2 linked regions of the Lonchura striata genome follow. The protein of the gene in region 1 purifies or fractionates together with the protein of each later gene. This does not show direct contact. Links are inferred from orthologs where the notes say so. Each region holds a gene or a part of one and is shown on either strand. Other genes may lie near its edges. The genes, in order: DNAJB6 and MLF2.

Evidence for each region.
Region 2: the proteins of DNAJB6 (region 1) and MLF2 purify together in Homo sapiens (affinity purification with mass spectrometry; 3 studies listed by BioGRID and IntAct, with this or other methods). This does not show direct contact. The link is inferred for Lonchura striata from reciprocal best matches to the Homo sapiens genes DNAJB6 and MLF2.

Annotation. Positions count from the first base shown.
Region 1 is NC_134603.1:148,334,214-148,345,292, reverse strand, and holds the start of DNAJB6 (dnaJ homolog subfamily B member 6), read left to right. Parts: upstream 1-6,576; 5' UTR 6,577-6,688; intron 6,689-7,781; exon of another isoform or gene 7,782-8,029; intron 8,030-10,890; exon of another isoform or gene 10,891-11,010; intron 11,011-11,079. UniProt on the Homo sapiens protein: Has a stimulatory effect on the ATPase activity of HSP70 in a dose-dependent and time-dependent manner and hence acts as a co-chaperone of HSP70. Plays an indispensable role in the organization of KRT8/KRT18 filaments.
Region 2 is NC_134604.1:29,631,236-29,642,458, reverse strand, and holds the start of MLF2 (myeloid leukemia factor 2), read left to right. Parts: upstream 1-6,976; 5' UTR 6,977-7,009; exon of another isoform or gene 7,010-7,089; intron 7,090-7,268; 5' UTR 7,269-7,292; coding exon 7,293-7,342; intron 7,343-9,121; coding exon 9,122-9,248; intron 9,249-9,707; coding exon 9,708-9,743; intron 9,744-11,177; coding exon 11,178-11,223.

The sequences.
Region 1 (11,079 bases):
CTTGAAGGGATTACTGTTGGAACTGGCCATCCGAGGCAGTGCTGGAGTCACCATTCATGGAGGAATTAAAAATTCCTGTTGATGTGTCACTGAGGGACTTGGTTCACATGGTGGGATTGGCAGTGCTGGGTTAATGGCTGGGCTCAGTCATCGCTGTTTTCCAACTTAAACATTCCTGTGGTTCTGCTGCTTTGGGATGGTTCCTACCCTTCAGCTTTCGAGCTGTGATTTCCCACTCTGGCAAGGAAGCTGCAGCTCTGAAGTTTACCGTTGTTTTCAGGGTGTCTTTCAAACAATGCACTTGCTCTGATTTGTGAAAACTTGTTCAGAATCTTTGGAAAGAATAAAACTCCATGGATAGAAGTCTGAGAAGCTGGAATTGATAGTGAAGAATGCTACTCTTCAGCAAACACAAAAATTTCTGTCAGCAAACACAAAAATGTCTCAACTGTTTCTGGAATTCTAGCACATGTGGGCTCCTTTGAAGGTACAATTTAGTTTTATCTCCTTTGATAATTAGACTTAATCTTCTTCCCTTTGCTTATTTATTATTTTCTTTGCTAAATACACTTTTAGTTCTTTTAATATTTATAGTTAGTATGGTGCATATTTATTTTTGAATGTTTAGAAATAGCAGCATATATGCTTCAGCTTACCTGCTACTAAAAATGTGGTAGACATAAAACTACAGAAAACTCCTCTTGTAGGGCATTTGCTAATTTGTAACATTAATAAAAAGACAAATGCCCATGTATCTGACCTGTTTTTCAGTATGTATCTGGTAGTCTGGAAAGGGCATTAAATTTCTCATGTGTATAGAGAGACAAAACAAGGCAAGAAGTGATCATGAAGTTAGACAAATTGAATCCATTAGAGAGAACATAGAATAGCTGAAGTCAGGAGGAATGTCTGGAGATCACCTCTTCCAACCCCCAGCTCAAAGCAGGGTCACCTACAGCAGGTTGCAAGACCTTCACCTGTGGAGTTCTGAATGTCTTCTTGGATGGAGAATCCACAACTTCTCTGTGCAATCTGTTTTCAGTGTTCAATTAACTTCACAATAAAACCTTTAAAATCATGTTTAAACACATTTCTTGTATTCCAATTTGTGCCCCTTGCCTCTTGTCCTGTGGGGCAGTACTAAGGAAGCTGAGCCTTTTCCAGGCTGAACAGCATCAGCCTCTCATCATATGACACGGCCTCCAAAACCTCAATCATCTTGCTCTGCCTTGTTAGTGACCCCAGCAGCATCTTCAAAATACCTTTTGTAGAGTTTGATGTGACTGGGGACTGAGTTAAGTGACAGTCTCTTCCTTACCAGATTCCTGTGGTGGTTAATCAGTGGCACTTACCAGGTAAGGTTGGATTTAAGATTTTGTGGCTTTACTTTTTCAACTTCCAGTTCTGCTTTGACTTTTCAAGGATTTTGCAAAACTCTTATCAATGTAAAATAGCAGACTTTGTAAAAACTGATCTCTGAGTTATTTTCACAAATGTTTATAGATAGGTTGCTAAATATTGATATAAAAGCCATAGGATTAATGTTAAATCACCTAACTGTTTATTTGCTTCTGCCACCAACAGTATCAAACACCCAAGTGCAACATCTTGTGCAAACTCCTGTATTTTGACTGTCTTCTGAAGGTCGAGTAGCCCAAAATTCAGCAAATCACATCAGACTGTCAAATAGGAGAAACATAGGCATTCTGACTGGCAAAAAATGGGACATAAAGGCAGGCAGAGATGTCCTGCAGCTTGATTTCACACTGTCAAGGGATGAGCTCTCCTTGTGTGATGATTAAATCGTTGCTACATTTATTGCCAGAATAGTTGCTCTCCAGTCTGGGCCTAAGCTTCCCTGTCCACAGCTCTGCAGAATCATAAATTCTGTGTGCAAAGTTGGTTCATGTATTTATAGGAGCAGCATGCTCAAATTTCCTACTATATTTAACATCATTCTTTTCTGCATTCCCAGAGCAGCTGTTTGTTCATTCTGTGTAACATTTAACTGAAAAGTAGTTTTGCATTATTTCTATTTTATTCCTTGTTTATAGTTATACATAGTTCTTGGTTGCTGAAGAAAGAAACAGGCATTCACCAGATGGTGTTATTTCAGATCCTCCTGCTACTGCTGCTTGCCAAAATGTTAGACCTGGGAAAAGCATCTCTCTCAGTTGCTATGTAGTTTTGCTGTATGTTGTCAAACAAACCTTCTGAAGGAATTGTTTCTTTTAGACCTTGTATCTTTACTTAGGAATTATTTTCATTACAGCTCTGTTTTTCTTTTTTCCCCTCTTCACTTTTCAGGTAAAAAGCAGCAGACCTCAAAGTTCTGCAGAGATACTTTAGGTATAATTATCTGGTAGATCTATCTGGCTATTGATAAAAAATTACATGGAATTAACTAATATTTCACATTGTCACATGGACAAAAAAGCATATCCCTGATCAAGTTAATGAACATAAGTGCTGATCAAGCTGTCCTTGCAAAGAATAAGCATTTTGCATAAGCTGTGAGATTGTCTGACTGCCCCAAACAGTTCTGGGTTGTTTTGTGCAGACCTCAAATAGTCAGCAAAATAGATCTGATATTTCAGGAGGAATTGGCAGAAGCATCAACTATGCTGAAGTGGTTTAAGTACTTTCAAAAGCATTCTCTTAGCTCAGCTTTTTGCACACAAAGAGGAGTCCAGATAAACTTGCAGCCTCTAGATTACCTAAGACACACACACTACAGATGAAAACTGAGGTTGTGCTCAGCAGGAAAACACTGGAGAATGCAAGAGAAATTGGGTTATTTTGTGCTTTTAATGCTTCTACTGAAAGTTTTAAACTCTAGGTGTATTGCACATATTTCAAGTCTAATTGTTTCTGATAAACTATCAGGAAAAAGTTAATGCTTACATTTAATTAAGTGGCACTTTCCAGAATTACTTTGCCAGCAGTACTATAATTAGATGATATGAGAACAGTCTTTGATACATATGCTCATATTCTTTGTTAACACCAAAAATAGAATCTGTAAATCTGTAAATAGAAGAACGGGATGCATTACACAGCAGGGCAGAGCAGCAGGCTGGGAAGGCTACAGCCATTACCACCTCAGGAGGATTAACATTAATGTCTCTCTAATGCAGCATTTTTAAACATTTCTTGTGTTCTGATGGGCTTTATATAATTGACCTCCATAAATCATGAAAGATGGTTTAAAAAAAGCATCTGGGAACCCTGTGAATTGCCAATACCTCCTGGAACACTGCCACGTGATTTCCATCATTAGGTTATAGCTGCCAGTTAGGGCTGAATTCATCTCACTTAACTTCAGGCATCTGTGAGGTGGCATTTAGGGAGAAAAGGCAGCCCTGGGACAGAGCTCTGGTGGGTGGTTCCTTTCCTAAAACACATCTCCAAAGAGGGTGGAAGGAACTGAGCCCTGGATGTGTCCTCTCCTCCCCTCTCTTCACAGTCAATGGCCTTGAACTGGATGTTCGAGACAGCTGAATTTGGGTGAGATGACAAAACCTTTCTCTCATGTTCCCAGAGGAGAGTTGAAAATTCTTAAACAATTAAGATTCTTTGATAGCAGCTTTACTCTGACTCAATGACTTGGCACTTGGATATCAGCCTGGATCTCTGATACCAGCTTTAACAGACCCACAGACCCTCTTTTGTTATTGGAATGTTGATGCTCTGCCAGCAACTCCAGGCTTCTGCTGCAAGCAGCAAGCCATAAAAACACAGGACACTTTGACTTCATACTTTTGAAAATACCTTTGAAGGTGTTCTGAATCAAAAAGCTTTTCAGTTTTATTAGTCCTATACATAGAGCTAATTAAAAATGTTAATGAGCCAGTTATGCAATCCTTTTGGATTTCAATAAAACATTCAGTACTCTCTCTCCCAGGATCCTTGTGGACAAAATGTCCAGCACACAGCTGGATAAACACATCATGGGATGGGCGAGCGTTTGGCTCACGGGTCAGCACCAAGGGTTGCAGTGGATGGGGTGACAGCAGGCTGGTGTCCTGTCCCCACTGGGGTTCCACAGGGCCCAGCCTCAGCCCTGCGCTCCTCAACATCCTCATCAATGACTCGGATGGGATACTAACTAAGTTTGCCAAGGACACTAAACTGGGAGGAGTTGCTGACTCCCTTGAGGGAAGGGAGGCCCTGCAGAGACCCAGACAAATCAGAGGGCTGGGCAATCACCAACCATTTGAAGTTCAACCAGGGCAATCCTGGATGTGTGTGCTTCGGTATCCCCTGCAGTACCTCTTCTGGTGGGCTTTGCCACATGCTATTTTAATTGAAATCACCTGCCTTTCCCTGTAACAGAGAACAGAAAATTAAATATTGTGTGCCAATTTGAGCAAATGTTTAAAAAGTAAATAATTCTTGTTATTGTTCAGGAGATAATCTGAGCTATCAATGACCATAAGTTAAAAAAAAAGAGATCCCCTAATAAATTATATTTGTAATTGGTGGCTCTGTAAACTGCCTCTTCAGAGAAGTATTGGGAAATGTCTTCTTATCTTTTTCAAAGACAAGCATAAACCAATTAAATTTTTTTTATTTAAAAAATAATTATTTTGTTTTCATCTATAACTTTGTTAGGAAACATTTATTAACATTCTCAGTGTTTTGCTGTAGAAAATGCTAAACTACGCTGCCCTCAGCTATGAGCAGGCAATTTACCTTCTCATACCTTCCTTTCTCCAAATGCAAAATTGGTCTCTAAGCTTTCCCAAATGTTATTCCTGTATCTGAAGGATGCTAAAGCAGGGCTATGCTGTTTAGAGTCAGAACAGTGTTAGAAAATCGCTGGGCAGATTAATGTAATGATAACAAATTGTGTTAAAGAAGCCATGGTCCTGGTTGCATTGATGCAGGCAGTGTTTTGATTCCAACCCTCTAGTTCCATATGGAATCATGCTTCTTTGCCATGTTCTGCTTGCTTGGCTAAACAGAAAGTTTTATGGTTGGCATCCATCATATTTAACTGTAAATATAAAATCTGCTCTTATTAAAGCAAAGAGACTTCCTCGTGTGACTTTTGTCTTGTTTACTACAGCTCAGGTTTTAGTACTCTTCACTTTTTTTCTCCCCTGTAATTGGTAATGAAAGGCTGGAGAAAAACCATTATTTCAAGAACAAGAAATGTTTAAAGGATTAAATCAAAATTTTGTATGGTCTCCTCCCTCACCTCACAATACTGACCTGCCTTTGCATTTGCCAGGCTGTGAATCCTCTGAGGTCTGAACTTGGCCCATTAGGAAGAGCCAGTCTAACCCACTAATCCTTTGGGTGTTTTCTTTCCCAGTGGACCAACAACTTGGACTTCACAGCTACTTGCTGATGAGAAACTAATAATGGAGTGAGGTGTCTCTCTGCTCTAATTTTGAAGAATTGTTTCCACGACCACAACATAGCATCAACAATCAACAGTATTTCTTTTGAAGCTTGCATTTCCCCAAAGCACCAAGCCTGTACTTAGGGTTGTCCTACTACTTGTCCTGCTGATTTGTTTTAGGTTTTCCTCTTCCTTATTGCAAGCTGGCTTTTGTCTTTTTGAACTGACCCCACTCCCACACAAACACTTCCTAAATAATGCGTAGCCTTTTCATTGAATTTATTTTGGAAGCATACATTTTAGGCGTGGAAACTCTCTAACTTCATTTTGGTGAGCTATAAATTAATGCCTCCACTTTTTAAATTAGGGGCAAGAAATATAATTTTACAGCAATTTAAAGCATGGATAAAATCTATATTTTAGAATTAAAATAGTAACTTTGTTGCTTTATACTTTGCTCTCAACCATGGCACTCAGAAAACCACATACTTGAATATAACACAAAGGATGCTCCAATATATTCAGCCAGTGCAGGGCGCTACATGCATGGAGAGGAATCTGACCTCAAAGGAATTGTGTGCCAGAGTTACAATTTTTGAGACTCCAACTTTAAACACACAAAGGGGAAAAATTTTTGGTATCTCACCTTGAGCACCCAAACTCACCTATTCAAAGAATGTTTGTTAAAATTGTTGTTTTTTCACCTTTTCCTACAGCACCACACCCAGGCATCACTTTTTGCAATTCCCTCACAGAATCCCAGCAGGGGTCAGGCTGGAAGGGTGATCCCAGAGCCCGTGGCACAGGATTGTGTTTAGATGGCTCTGGAATACCCAGTGTGGGAGACTCCACAGCTCCTCTGGGCAGCCTGTTCCAGTGCACGGTCACTGCACACTAAAGAAGTTCTCCCTCACGTTCAGGTGGAAATTCCGTGCCTCAGTTTCTGCCCATTGCCTCATCTCCTCTTGCTGGAGCAGAGCCTTGTCCATGCTCTTGCCACCCCCAGTTTTTGAGAGTACAGACACAAAAGTGGAAGAATTTTTGCCATCTCACTTCTCAGCTATTCAAAGAAGGTTTCTTAACCTTTTTCTTTTTCTTTTTTGCCTGTTTTGCTGCACACCCGGCCCTCAGAAGCCCCGCCCCGGCGCCGCGGGCCGCCGGCAGGGGGCGCTCTCCGCTCGCACGGGAGCCCGGCGGGGCCGTTCCAGAAACTTCCGGAAGCGGCGGGGCGGAAGCGGCGGCGCGCGCTGGCGGCACTTCCTGTTTGCGGCCGCTGCCGTTGGTGCCGGCGGGAGCGGCGGGCGGGGAGCGGCGGCCGCGCTGCGGAGCCACCGGCGGGTGAGCGCGGGGACCTCGGCCCGGGGCTGCCCGGCCGCGGCCGTGCGGCGGGCGGAGGGCGGCGGGGAGCGGCCGCTTGGCCGGGCCGCGGTGCCGGGCAGCGGCGTGCCTGGTAGCGGGGCCTGCTGGCGGCGGTGGAGCGGCCGCGGGTGCCGCGGCGGCTCTGCTCGGCCTTGGCGGGGCTCGGGGGTCGCTGGGAGCTCGGGGAGGCAGCGGCTGGCCAGGGCTGCCCCCGGCGGGACAAACCCCGGGACGTTCGGTGCCAGCCCGCTCTGCCGCAAGGCAGAAAAAAAATTCCGGATTCCCATTCCTTGCTCACAGGGGTGTCAACTCCCAGGGGATGAGGGCGAGCCTCGTTTCGTTAAACACACCTTGTCCTTAAAGCGCTTTTTGTCGCAGGGTGCTGCCTGGGCGGCTTGCGAGCGTTGTGGCCTCCTTTTTTCTGCCAGTCCCTGAAAGGAGATGGCGATGAGCTGCGGGCCGTGCCTGCAGACAGAGAGAGGATCAGTGGAAATGGCCTTAAGATGAGACGGCGTGATTCAGATTAGATAGTGTAAAAAATAGTTCACATTTAGGGTGGCCAGCCATTGGAATAGGTTGCCTAGGGTGGTGGTGGAGTCGGCAGCTTTGGAAGTGTTCGGGAGCGGCTGGATGTGGCGCGGGGCGGGTTTGTGGTTAAGGGACGCAGTGGCGGTGTTGGGGGGTGTTTGCCCTGGGTGATCTCAGAGGCGGTGTTGGGGATGTTTGCCCTGGGTGATCTCGGTGGCGGTGTTGGGGGGTGTTTGCCCTGGATAATCTCAGAGGCGGTGTTGGGGGGTGTTTGCCCTGGATAATCTCAGTGGCGGTGTTGGGGGGTCTTTGCCCTGGGTGATCTCGGTGGCGGTGTTGGGGGGTGTTTGCCCTGGGTGATCTCAGTGGCGGTGTTGGGGGTGTTTGCCCTGGGTGATCTCAGTGGCGGTGTTGGGGGTGTTTGCCCTGGATAATCTCAGTGGCGGTGTTGGGGGTGTTTGCCCTGGGTGATCTCAGAGGCGGTGTTGGGGGGTGTTTGCCCTGGGTGATCTCGGTGGCGGTGTTGGGGGGTGTTTGCCCTGGGTGATCTCGGTGGCGGTGTTGGGGGTGTTTGCCCTGGGTGATCTCAGAGGCGTTTTCCACCCCTGGTGACCGTACGCCAAACGAGCTGTGATTCTCCCCCGATGGAAGCAGTTCGGTTTCGTTGCTCAGTGTTGATTACTCGGGGTGCCGGCAGGAGGGAGGTTTGTTGTGGGTGAGGTCGGCAGAGGTCGGGTGTTTTGAGCTCGCTGTTGCCAGGTTCCGAGCCGAGGTGAAAACTGATACTGCCAGGTAAGGAACACTGTTTGTCGTCAGTATTTGTTGCACTTCAGAGGGGACAGCAGGCTGGGTTTACCACTCGCGTTCCTGTTTGCACCAACGCTTTGTGTTGTGTTGCTGTCTGAGCTCTCCTTGGCTGCTGAAAACGTGCTGCGACCATGCTAACAAAGGTGTTAGAAATAATTCACAATACTGAACAAATCTGTTCTAAATTGTGGTAATAATAAACTACTTATTTAGGCACGGTAGCATGAAATCTGCGTTTACTATGTGCAAATAGTTAGACTTGTGTCATTGCATAGTCAGTGATCAAACCCAAGAGTTTTTAGAGTATAAAGTGTCAAAAAGTGATAAGAACAAGGTGCTGACATAAGGGACCACTGGGATGAAGCAAGGCTCTGCCTCTCTGGTCTTGCAGCAGAGGTTGCAGTCACTGCTGTCTGCTGACCTTAATTTTTGTTTACTCTTTGGAGATCCTTGTACTCCAGTTAGGGATTTTATGTTCAGCTGGTGATCAAGAGCCTAATAGTGAAAATACCATTTAGTTTGATGGATTATGTTGTCAAAGAAGATTTGTTTGGACCAATGAATAAGTGTATTTACAGATCTTGTCTGCGTGATTACTTTTTTTATTGCAAACAACCAGAATTTTAACTATTGCACAACACTAGTCTAACTTTGTGTACTCCCCTTGGCTCCTGTGCTGACTTCTCAGTGGAGAATAAGAGTGTTGAAAATAGAAGTTAAATTAGTGTTAAATTTTCTTAAATAATCTCTATTAGAGTAGAAATTTAAATTGCTGCTTTTATTGGCAGCACTGTTTAGACTACAATGCTACTAATAATGTAAACTAAATCTGTAAAGTGCAGAGTTCCCCTTGTTCTCCATCAGGCTTGTCTTTTTAGTACTTGTGCTTTCAAACTACAGCAGATTCTTATCCAGGCAGCTTCTCTCTCTGGTTATTTTCTCTGTCCTTCCCAGATCGATGCAGATTGCTAATTTATCTTGGCAGAGCTTGGGAAGAAGGCATGCAGGGCTTTACTTTTGTGTAACACTGAAGTTTTAGTTAGAGGCTAACGTGTTTTGGTACTGACTTTTTAAAAATAGATGAATAGATTTCTTTGCGAACTCTATTCTTTCTTTTATCCATTAGAAGTTTTGGAATGTATGCGAGGAGAGGGAATAATTTACGTTAAATCATCATCATCATTTTATGTAGGATATAGGCGTTCCTAACAGCGCACGAGAAACGACCACCAGGTTTTTGGTCTGTTGTGCGTCTGTGCCTCAACGCGCTCGTTGGCGCAGCGAGGTCTGCGAGCGGGGGCGGCGGGTGCGCTCTGCCCGCTCCGGAGCCCGGCACGGGCGGAAATGTCCGCGCCCCTGCGAGCCCGGGAGGGCACGGCCCGGCCCCTGCGAGCCCGGGAGGGCACGGCCCGGCCCCTGCGAGCCCGGGAGGGCACGGCCCGGCCCCTGCGAGCCCGGGAGGGCACAGCCCACCCTGCACAGCCCTGCGAGCCCGGGAGGGCACGGCCCGCCCTGCACTGCACAGCCCGCACTGCACTCAGACTTCCCGGGGCACATCCACCGCTTCTGAAATGTGGAGCCATGCTCTGAAGGGAATTCGTTGCTGTAATTTTAGACTTAGCTGTGTGAGGTTTATGTTTAAGCGATGTGCTCCTTAAGTAGGTAGTGCTCCATATCTCTAATAGCATTTGTAAAGAATCTCCTCAGTTGTGTCCTGGAAACATTTCCTGACAAAGCTTTTCCTTTGTCTTTTTCAAGCAATGGAAAGATTAGTGAGAAATTACTTAGCTTTGCCAAAACTTGTTGGATCTTGCATATGATGCTTGTTTCTTTTAGGATAGATTTAAAATAAAACTCTAGTTGAGGGTATTAGTAGTTTAAATTATATTTTCTTCTGAATGAAATACATTTCAATGGATGTTAGACTTTCTTTACTTTAGACGTAATGAAATCATTCTGCTTTATTTATTTAACTGCTAGGGAAAAAATAATTCATGCATATACATTACACTCCTACAGTTACTAGTTGTAGGTTTTGTTTTCTATTTGTTCTGAATACTGAAATCCCACTGGTGTTAGTGAGTACTCAGTACTTAAGGATCTTAAAGGCCATATAGTAAGTCTGAAGCCATTTATAGCTACACTGTAGCAAGTTTTTATTAAAACATTAATTTTTCTCATCAGAATTGTTCTTTTTATCTTAAAATGTAGTCTGAATTGGTAAGTCTGTCAACACTCTGATAAGAACTTACTCTTTGCTTTAATGAAGCTTATTTTTCTTTTTTCTTTTTGTTTGGCTTAAATAAAGTAATCATGACTCAAAAACAGTTCAGGGGAAATGTGTAGAAACTTTGAACTATTTTCCCTGTTTTCGTTTCCCTAAAGGATTGTCTGCATGTGATTTGCCTAAAACTTTCTGGGCCATGTCTTTCAGTTGAGGCTTTCACTATTTTTAATTGCTTAATCATATGCAGATCATATATTTTTTGAAATAAAACATGACTTTTACTTCCTATAAAATAGCCTTTTATGGTTAGTTTTAGGAAAGTGACAGTGTTCCAGATATTTGTGACACAATTCCAAATTTGGACACCTGAGTTGTTTTGCTCCTTTGCTTTAAGGAAAGATCATTAGTAAGTCCCCCATTATCAGAGATCAGATGGATAAACAGAGGAGAGTCTCAGCTCAAGAGAGTGAGGGTGGCCTGTTGACTGATCAACATCCTTTCCTGTTATTTGTTAGCCAGTTTACATTTCTTTCACAGATGAAGAGTTTGAATTTCTTCTGTTTCCATTTTTGGTTGGCTCACTCTTTTTTAATGGTTTCTTACTTGTTGCCCTCTACAGGCTTTCCATGTGCCAGGCAGCAATACAGATCAAGTCCTGTAAATCGTGCCAGAGTTGTGTTTGCTGCCCTTGAGGAGGAGAGGAGTGGACAGGATTCTTTGTAGCTTCCTGCCTTAAGGGGTGAGGGCCTCTCTTGTTTGGCTGTGGTGGAGTTTTATTGTTGCTGGCTTTTCTACAATGGAATATGAA
Region 2 (11,223 bases), on another chromosome or scaffold:
CGCGTGCACATGAGCGCATACAGAGGTACACGTGTACGCAGTCATTCTCACAGGTACAAGGCAAGGTTATTAATCCGTCTGGTTGGAAAATGTATTGAGGTACGCAAGCCCTTCTTGTCCTTCAGATACAAACTCAGCCTCCCTGCAAAGTCAGGATTTAGAGCGGGTGCTCTTGAGTTTAATTGAATGTGTCTCAGTTCGAGCATTTAACAGCAAAAGCCATTCGTATTTGTGGAACATAGGGCCCTGAGTATGTATCTCCTGAAGGAAAGTAGGAAAGATATTGGATAAATTATAATCTGTGTGACAGGGAGGTAGAAGCTACCCAGCTTGTTGTCTCGTCTCCTCCACAGCTACAGCTGCTTCTCTCATGATCTGACTAATTGACGTTCTTCACAGCTATACACAGTGCAGAGTGCCTGCTCCAAAAAACAGTCCTGTAACTCACATGCACACATCTAGACTAGTACCAAAATAAACCAAATTATGAAAATGCGTGCACTAATTTTTTTCCCCTACTGTTTCACAAAACCGATCTGGCCAATTTCTCAGGTCTAGCTGCTATCAGCATTCCAGCCCTGGTTTGGTACAAGTACTCCTCTTTCATCCTTCCCTTTCACAAGAAGAAAATCTTAATTTCTAGATATACACCTAAAACAGGACCCAAAGTAATCTATATAGGGGCCGGATGGTGTTCCTCTCTGCTTTCTGCTTGACAGAAGGTGCGTGGCTCATTGCTCTGCTGTTCTCCTCACCAACCCAGAATTTATTTTCCAGGATCCTCTTCCTTTACACACTCAACCACTGAAAACACATAATTACATTGACACATATCCCTTGGCAAAGACATCTTCACATTAATGCACAAACAGGCCTTGACACAACATCCTAGAGGGGAGAAAGCAAAGGATTACGTTCAGGGATGTTCCCGTGCCCAAAGCTCCATGTTCACACAGGCTGCGAACCCACAGATGCAAATTGACAAACACCTGTTTGTGCAAGGGGAGCTTGTTTCCAGCTACCTGTGGGATGGCGCTGTTGGGTCAGCATGGGTCAACTACAAACTGGCATGGCAGCAGCAAGCTCTCCTTTCCTCCCCAGCACCTGCAGTGTGCAACTTCACATTGTCACTTCCATGCTCCCCACCCCATCCCCTTTGCAATTTTTCCCTCATCTGCTGCTTCTTGGCATTTGTCTCCTACCTGTGTTCTTGGCAGCACTCTCCCCATGGCCCTCTCCCCGGCTTCTCTTTGTGACATCCTGTATCTTACATGCAAAATTCATTTCACATCCCCTCCTTTGTTTTTCATGTCCCATTTTGCCCTGCATTATTGTATCAACTATGCTTTTCCCCTTAAATCCAACATTAAATTCTTCTTCATTCCTTGTCATCTGCCTGTTTCTGCATTCTGACTCTTCTTGCCCTTTGGATCCTGGTAGTGAGATTTGCTGGGCTTCTAGTGTGCAGCTGCCTCCCTCAAGCCCTGAGGATATCCACTGACTGTCTCACCTAGCTCTTCCCTGTGACTTCTGCTCCTCCACCTGATCTGTGCCACTCTGCATTTCGCCTGCCAGATTGATCTGCAGCTTTTCTCTGCTCCTCTCTCCCATCTGTGCCTTCCCCTCTGCTGCAAATGCAAGTACACTCATTGTGAGCTCTGCAGATGTCAGTCTCTGCTCAGTGCGTTCCGTAGTCTTTGTCTGTAGTTGCTTTGCCAACTCAGCAGAACATATTCCATCCTTTTTGGAGACTTATGTCCTTAGACAAAATGAGGGAGGTGCAGAAGTTACATGACAGATCATTGTGTGGAACAGACACTCTCCGTGTCTGCCTGCAGCCCAGACAACAATGGGAATGTAATTTTCTCCGTGCAGTGTCACAATTTTGGTACTGTACCCTGTTTGTGCTTGGTGTTTATGTAGGTGTGCGCATGTGTTTAGGTGCAGTACATACCTGGTTGTGTACAGAGGGGATATTTTCCCCCTGTTACATTCTTTTACTTTTGTGAGTGTAGAAAGTATGGTACTTTTCTACTGAGGTGTGCCTTGAGCTTGCAGGCATTTGCCAACATACGTGAGCACGTGGTTGAGATGTGTTAGGGCTTTCATGCGTGGTATCTATTTTTCTTCTCCCAGCAAATGTGGGGTGAATGCACCTAGAAGCAATTATTTATGCATTTTGGTCTATTACCTTGCTAGTCATGCCACTATGTTCTGATGGGGGCAGAGGGGATGGTGACTTTTGTGTTTATTTTGAAGGCTGAACTAACTGCGAGCCATTTTCTGAGCAAAAGCAAAACACAAAAACTGGGTATTTTAAGAATTATATTTACTGAGCTAACTCCTAAGTGGTTCCAAACTGTTTGCTGAATAACAAAAGAGCAGAAGGATGTGTATTTGCATTAAATTTTCTTAGATTTACATAAATGCAGAATATCTGTCCTTTCACGTACAGCAAAAGTAGCAAAATCTCAGTGTGCAGAGGGAATCTGCTTGAATGCATTTATGTATTTAAGTCACGCTGTTCATCTTTCTGTACTGTGTCCACTAAAAATCCCAGCAGATAATCCGCTTTGTTCTTCTTCCGCTATGCCATATAGTGAAGTTAAGAGGAAAGACCCAAGAATTCAACCACCGGCCAACTTTGCATTGGGAAATGGCTTCCTGAGAGGCAGCATATTTAAATAAGCCCTGCAGGAGGGCTGGGAAGCAGGGTAGGTAAAACAAGGAGAAGAAGCAAGAGGAGTAGAAGGGAATGACAAGGGGTGACACAGCCTGTCAGAAGACTGGAAAGAGGAGGGATGTTTTCAATCGTGATTTTTTTGTGAGCCTGTCTTTGCTAACGCAGCACAGATGGGAGGTCGTGGTTCTCACTCACAGTGTGACAGACACACTCTTAACACGAGCAAAATATTCTGAAAGTAATCGCTGCCACGCAACGCAAGCTGCAGCCACCACAAGCTGGCTGTAGCATCCCGAATATGATTTTTCCCATTTGAGGATCAAATCAGAGCTGTCCTTCACTCGGGGTGCCCTTCATCTGAGGTCAGAGTCAGTTGTTGGGTGAGGATTACGTAAGAGGCACAGATGAAGGGAACCAATGAGGAAATGGCTGTGGGTAGCTCTGACTTCTGGTAACGAGGTTTTCTTTGTCTTCCAGACGTCCACGGGGCTCCTCTGCGGCGTTCGGGCGCGTTACGAAGCTGTTCCCGGCCCCAGCGCTGGGTGCGTGCCGGCAGCAGGTAGCGAGGCAGGGTTTCTCACCCTGCCTTTATTTGCCTCCGCCAGGCGATGCTCAGTTCGCTTTCCCGGGGCCGGGAAAAACCCCTGGGGGTGCCGGGGGTGCCGCGGGCAGGCGAGGCGGGGCCGGGCAGCGGCGCCGTTCATCGCCTTCCGAGCCGCCCTTCGCTCGCCGCCGCCGCGCCGCCCGCCGAGCGCTGCTCCCCGCCCCCGCCGCCCCGGCACGGCCCGGGCAGCTCAGAGGGAATAAAGAAAGGAAACGGAGAGACATCATGGTTCTTGTTCATGGCGAAAAGAGAAGCGGCCTGAATAGAGGGGAGCGAGATGGGAGCCTTGCTTCTCACTCACAGCCCCGTGTCGCTCGTTGTTCTGGCCATCCCCTCGGAGCACCTCGGGCACTGCAGCAACAGATCCTGCATTCCTCACGACCGTGCCCTTGTCCAAATTCCACAGAAAGGTTGCCGTTCTAATTCCCGCTCCCAGGGTTTCACGCAGCGTTTGCTATCACCGTGAATCTCTGCGAGCAAGGTTTGCGCATGGTGGTTTCGGCAGACCTCGAGGTTTGCTGAACTGGCAATGGCCCCGGAAATGCAGCCTCTGGTAAAGCGTCCATCAGGTGTAAGGACTGCCTGTAAGGCTGCAGAAATACCCAGGGAGAGCCACAGCCTCAGCCCCCAACCTCACAAACTCAGCCCTTAGGTTGCACTTGCAGAGGAGCAGCATTAGGGACAGAAAAAAGGATCTGCAGAGCCGTGTTTGTTCCAGACAATTTCCTGTTCCTTTCCCCTCTGTGTTTGAAGGCAGCAATGCCTGACTTATACTTTGGAAAAACTGAGAGAGCCCTACCATCTCTGGGACATTGCAGGAGTGGGAGGATCACTAGTATCCAGGGACCAGGAATTTATTTTATCCCAGATCTGGAGAAAAGAAGAAAGAAAGAAAAAAAAAAAAAAAGAAGAAAACCAAAAGAGATGTTTACATTTCTGCCCTAGAAGATCTTTACCTGCCTTTGCATCCTGACACTTGAGGTCAACTCCGCACTCCAATCAAACACCAGAGCGCCTCAGAACAAAAGGAAAACACACCAGACAGGAAAGGCTTTCCAGACTGGAGGTCTCTGAAGGATGATTCAGGTTTGCAGAAGCAGCATCAGAGAAGTTGAGGCAGCACCACCAAGGGCTTTGTGTGAACTTCAGCACTCACAGATGAGTTCTGAGCTGGTGACAGGAGTCAGAGTCAGCAGCTCACTTACAAACAACCTCCCTCCAAGAGGTTTGGCCCTTCCCATAGGACTTGTGTCCACATCACGATCCTGCACCATTTTGCTGTTGACAGTTCCCCTTTTGTGGACGTTTTGGTTTCAGCCTCTGCAGAATGCAATTACTGCGTACACAGAAGGGACTTCTGAAGAGCTTTCTGTATGCACACAGGCACAGGCCTCCCGTGAGAGGTCTTCTTTCTCAATACTGAGCAGTTTTGAGACCTGCTGTAGCAAGAAATATTGCCAAGTCCTCTATGCATTCCACACGTGAAGCATGCTACTGGGTCATTTTCCTCTGTCAGGCTCCAAAATCCAAGGACATGGCTCCTGCCACAACTCAGGAGCTCCGTTTCTCAACCACTTCTTGCAGCCTGCTATTTCCAGTCCTCTGGCACGAATCCAGTCTGGCTCCTACACGTGGTGGGCCGGATGCAACAGTCACCAGAAGCACCAGTGAGGAAGCGTGCCCTGGGCTGGAGCTGGGATGAGTCAGTCTGCTCTCTTCCCTGTAATCCAGTGGGGCTGGTGGTAGCTGAAGGGACCCAGCACTCCCCAGAGATGGTGACAGAGGTGTCATCCCCCTGCTTTCTGGAGACTCCCCACCACTGCAGTAGGTGCACACAAGTACCTAAGCTGTGCCTGTGATTCCCAGTGGCTGTCCAGGATCAGTGATGACCCACAGCTGGCTTACAAAGTATCCTCCCTGCTTCCCCAGCAGAGCACTGCGTGCACTCGCTGTCCATGTGCTCAGCACAGACGAGCAGCTCTGTGGGTGCCTCCTACGTGCCCATGCCATGCAGGAAGCCTGGGATAAGTGCTGCCTCTGCAGCAGCCAGGCAACGCTGTGGACTCTGGCCAGGAACCAGCTGGCCGCGAGCCACAGGGATTACTACAGAATCACAGAATATTCCGAGTTGGAAGGGACCCACAGGATCGTCAAGTCCAGCTCCTGGCCCTTCACAGGACCATCACCAAGAGTCACACCATGTGCCTGAGAGTGTTGTCCAAACACATCTTGAATTCTGTCAGGCTTAGTGCTGTGGCTGCTTTCCTGGGGAGCCTGTTCGAATGCCCAGCTACCCCATGGGTTAAAAACCTTTGCCTGATATCCAGCCTAGACCTCCCCTGACACAAGCTCAGGCCATTCCCACGGGTCCTGCCACAGAGAGAAGCGATCAGTGCCTGCCCCCGCGCTGGCCCTGCTGGGGAGGCTGAGCAGAGCGACGGGGCCTGCCCGGTGCCTCCGTTACCACTGCATCCTCCCATTCCCATTCCTACTCCCACTCCCACTCCCACTCCCACTCCCACTCCCACTCCCACTCCCATTCCCACTCCCATTCCCACTCCCATTCCCACTCCCGTTCTCGTTCCCGTTCCCATTCCCATTCCCACTCCCACTCCCATTACTATTACCATTACCACTCCCATTCCCATTCCCACTCCCACTCCCACTCCCATTACCACTCCCACTCCCATTCCCATTCCCACTCCCATTACCACTCCCGTTCCCATTCCCATTCCCGTTCTCACTTCCATTACCACTCCCATACCCACTCCCATTCCCATTCCCACTCCCATTCCCATTCCCACTCCCATTCCCACTCCCATACCCAATCTCATTCCCATTCCCACTCCCATTACCACTCCCACTCCCATTCCCATTCCCACTCCCATTACCACTCCCACTCCCATTCCCATTCCCATTCCCATTACCACTCCCGTTCCCACTCCCATTCCCGTTCTCACTTCCATTACCACTCCCATACCCACTCCCATTCCCATTCCCACTCCCATTCCCATTCCCACTCCCATTCCCACTCCCATACCCAATCTCATTCCCATTCCCACTCCCATTACCACTCCCGTTCCCATTCCCATTCCCACTCCCACTCCCATTCCCACTCCCACTCCCATTCCCATTCCCATTCCCATTCCCATTCCCATTCCCATTACCATTCCCACTCCCACTCCCACTCCCACTCCCATTCCCATTCCCATTCCCATTCCCATTCCCATTCCCATTACCATTCCCACTCCCACTCCCATTCCCATTCCCATTCCCATTCCCATTCCCACTCCCATTCCCACTCCCATTCCCATTCCCATTCCCACTACCATTCCCACTCCCATTCCCATTCCCACTCCCACTCCCACTCCCATTCCCATTCCCATTCCCATTACCATTACCATTCCCATTCCCATTCCCATTCCCATTCCCATTCCCATTCCCACTCCCATTCCCACTCCCACTCCCACTCCCACTCCCACTCCCATTCCCACTCCCACTCCCATTCCCACTCCCACTCCCACTCCCACTCCCACTCCCACTCCCACTCCCACTCCCACTCCCACTCCCATTCCCGTTCCCGGGCTGCCCGGCGGGAGCTGGGGCCGGGGGCGCCGCCCGCGGGGGCGCCAGGGGGCGCTGTGCCGCGCGGCCCCGCCCCGCCCGCGCCCTGCCCCGGGGCGGGCGCGCATGCGCGGCGCGGGCGGGGCGGAGGCAGCGCGGTGCGGGGCGCGATGGGCGCGGGGGCGTGAGCGGCCCGGGGGCTCGGGCAGCGCCGAACCGGGACCGCCGGCACCGGCAGGCACGGCGGGGCGGGGGCGCGGCGGGTGGGCCGGGCCCGGGGGGCAGCGGTGCCATCACCCGCCCCGGCTGGCGGCGGGGCGGGGCGGGGCGGGGCGGGGCGGGGCGGGGGGGCGGCTCCGCGCTCCGCCCCGCCCGCCCTCAGCCCCGGCTGCGCTCACCGCCCTCTCCGCTCCGCAGAGGCCGCCCCCGAGCGAGGGAAGCATGTTCCGGCTGATGCGGGATGGCGAGCCGGAGGACCCCATGTTTGCCATGTGAGTCGGGGTGGGCGTCCTGCGGGGGGTCGGCGGCAGGGCTGCGGCACGGAGCGCCCCCGGGGAGGGGCGCGCTGCCCGCGTCCCGCCGGCGGGCCGGGCCGGGCCGGGCCGGGCCGGGCGGGCCGGGAGCGCCGCCGCAGCAGCGCAGCTCTCCGGGGACGGACGCAGACATCCTCCGGAGGGGCAGCGCGCCCGGCAGCAGCGACCGCGTCCGACTCCTTTCTGCGCTACGGCAGCGTGGTCTTGGAGGAAAGCGTAACAAAGTAGGCCAAAAGGCATCGCAGCTGTCTTGAGAGGAAGAGAGGGCTGGAATCATAACTAATCTTTTTCTTTGCGCAAGGATTTTTTTTTGTTTCATTATGCAAACTAGGGTTGCAGTTGAGATAGATAAAATCTGCTGCTCTGTCCAGTGTTTGTTGCTGTTCTGCACAGGAAGTCATTAATGGAGCTGGAGAAGGCTGCTGAAGCAGTTGTCAAGTTGTGAGGAACAAAGTAAAGACAAAACAACGAGTGGTTTTGAAACACAAGTATTGAAATCTGACAAAGCTCCCAAGAGCTGTTCCTGGGATTCCTTTCACTGAATGTTTTTGTTTCTGTCCTCAGTACAGAAATTGGATGCTATTGATAAATTTTGGCAGTGACGCTTAAGTTGGCAGCCTTGCTAAAGTGGAAAAGGAATAGACTGTAATACAGGAAGAATTTGATTATGTTAAACAAGACATTAGTAGAAATTTGGTGAAATTTATGTATGTAGAAGAATAGTCAATTTATTAAATCAATAGTAAGCAAGAATTTTATCAGCTGTGAGCAAATTAGCAGGAGAGGAGACCTTGATGTCCCAGTTAGTCACCGAATGACAGTGTGTTCTCATTAACATGACAGGTATGAGTCTAGCTTTTATTATGGGAAGCATTTCCAGTAGAGACAGAAAAGTATTGGTTTTAAGTATTTAAGTAGTGGGTGCTTCTGTCATCTCAGGAATAATCTGTGCTATAGAGGTCATTAAAACTCAAGAGGGATAATTGCAGGCTACAAGATGAGCAGGAAAAAAGCTATGGTATTTCCCAGAAGTTTCTTATTGTGGCCACCCTGTTCTATGACTCTTTACCCTTACCCTCCTTTTCCTCCTCTTGCTTCACCAACCTGTGTGAGTGTGTGCAGCCCTCAAAGTGGAGGCTGAAAGAGAAGGGAAAACCAGTTAGGGATCCCAGTTATTGTTCCCTTTCTCCCTCAAATCTGGAAAAGCTGTATGTGGTCTCACGCCCTGGGGGGCAGAGGGATGCCAGGCTGTGCAGTACAGTCTGGAGGTTCCAGTCTTGCATTTCACTGTTTGTGTCTGTGTACATGGAAGGGTGAGGGGATGATATATGGGATTCTCTTGCTCCCTGGTGCCTAAGTGTAGCCCTCACCTTGCAGCCAGGAAGGTCTTTGTGCACCTCCCTCTAAAAGATGTTGGAGCATTGAGGTTTTGGAGTGGTTTTGACCATACTTGGCTCCAGAGCACTACTGAAGCAGAACACCAACCTGCTTCTGAGCAGACAGAAATTAGTACCTGAGAGGGTTTCTGCGGTATGAAACCTTCTATCACAAGAAATGTGATTGGATCCAGAGATCCCTTCCAGCCCCTGTAATCACCATAGACAACACAGACTACACAGGATTCTCAATTTCCAGCTTGGGAAGGACTGTACAGTTGTGTAAGAAAAACACAGAGCTGGGAGGAGCGGATTATATGGGGCTTTATCCTCACCATTGTTCTCTCCACCTCTCCAAAAGGGATCCTTTTGCCATCCACCGGCAGCACATGAACCGCATGCTGTCTGGGAGTTTCGGGTTCGGGCCGCTCCTCGGCATCACGGATGGCACCACACCTGGGGCTCGCCAGGCTGGCCGCAGGATGCAGGTAACGCAGGCTGAGTACAGGCTAGAATTTCCCAAACTGATCTGTCACTTTCTGTCTCCCACCCCTCCTGGCTTGGGCACGCCCCCTCTCCTCCACACAGGTGCAGAATAAATCTCTTAGGCAGTGGTGTTCTGGTCCTTCTCTTTATTCCACCTGTATTAAGGTGTTGAAGGCAACAGTGTTCTAGGTTGGGCGGGAGGAAAGGAATAAATACGTGTTGTTTCTCAAGGATGTGAATTCATATAATGGGGAGAAATTTAGGAGCATCACCTCATGTCTGGTTCATCAGGGGTGATATGGCTTGAACGCCAGGAATCCGTGGGGTGCTTTCTTGATCTGTTTGTAGAGCCTGAGTGTTCCCAGTTCTGTTTCTGAGAAGGATTATTGTGTTCTGATGAGGATCTAGTGTTTGGCTGTTGCAAAGTCATTCTCTGTTCTGCTTTTCTGTTCTCCTGGCAGGCAGGAGCTGTTTCACCCTTTGGGATGCTCGGCATGGTAAGTTTTCTGTTTTTCTGGGTCAGATTAGAGGCTTTCCAAGTAGTGGCTCCATACTGAGATTCATCAGCACTGTGTGCAACCGGTGCTAAAATGTAGCCATCTGTGAGCGTGACCAGCTATCCTACCAGGTGGGGAGGATGGAAATGTCTGAGGATACCAGGATGAGCTTTAGATTTATAGTAAATGGAATAGGGAAGAAGGTATTGAACTGAAACTGGAAGCATCTGGTTTCTCCTGGACCTCTCATTGAGTTGTTTTATGACTTCAGGCCTTTACCTTGTTTCCCCTCTAATGTTTTAATCCTGTCCGTGAGCTGTTTTTGAAGAGAGAGTCTAACTCTGTGTATATGGGGAAGTTGTATTTGCACCTTGACCAGGGAAAAGTCATAAAGCTGTTATAGCACAATATTTCATGGGAATTGGGACAGTTAATATCTGGGAAGAGCAGGTAGTCCCTTAATAACCTCATATGTCTGAAAAGAAGCTGCAGAGCTGGAGGTAATGGAGGAGCTGTGAGGATGGGAGGAAAGGACTTGGCCATCAGTAGACAGAGGGGATTATTGCACCTCCTTTGCCAGTGGTGGCAGCTGGAGAAGCCAGCAGAATTCTTCAGGTAAGCAGGGCTGGAATGAGAATGGCTGTGTGTACGTGAGAACACCGCACTCGGAGCGTGCTGATCTCCGTCTTCCGCCGAAATAATACAGTGCAAATAGGTTATTCCAGATCCAGCAACTTCAGCTGCCTTGCTCTGCAGAATTGCCTCAATGAAAGAGACTCCAGCGTCCTGGAATTTTTGTAGCTCAGAGGAGGATTAATAAGACTACAAACACATAGACTTCAAAGCATAATAACATTGTGTGTGAGTACTGCTCTGCTGGAAACGAGAACAAGAGGCTACTCGAGGAAACAAAAAAAAAAGAAATCAGCAAGTTTGAACTGACATTGTAATTTTGTTTACATATTGCACAATTAACCTGTGAGACTTGCTGGCCCAGGGTGTTACTGCAGTGTTCAGGTTTAAAGAGTGGAAAAGGCAGGTGTTTGTAGGGGAAAATAAGCAAATTTGTTTTTATGCTAGAAAGAAAACAATCAGTGGAAACTTTCTTAAGATCACTGTTAGTGCACATGCTGAGAATCATTCTCCTAACTTTGCTGAGTCCCCAGGCTTACAAACCCCAGTGCATCGGCAGTTGGATCCAAGCTAAAAGAACAACCTTTGCCAGAACATTGGGCAATGCAGCCTGAGAGAATGGAGAGAACAGCAACCCCAAATTCTGTTGGCTTTTTTTTTCCTGCGCTACTGAAAGAACGTGAAGAAAAACCAAAGGTTCTTCTTCTTAGGCAGCAGATTTTTTTGCAGATAGTTTGTTGTTCTTTCCTCATGTTTCTTCCCAGACTGACTACTCTTGTGTTTTCTTTTCCTTTTTATTAGGCAGGTGGCTTTATAGATATGTTTGGGATGATGAACGACATGATTG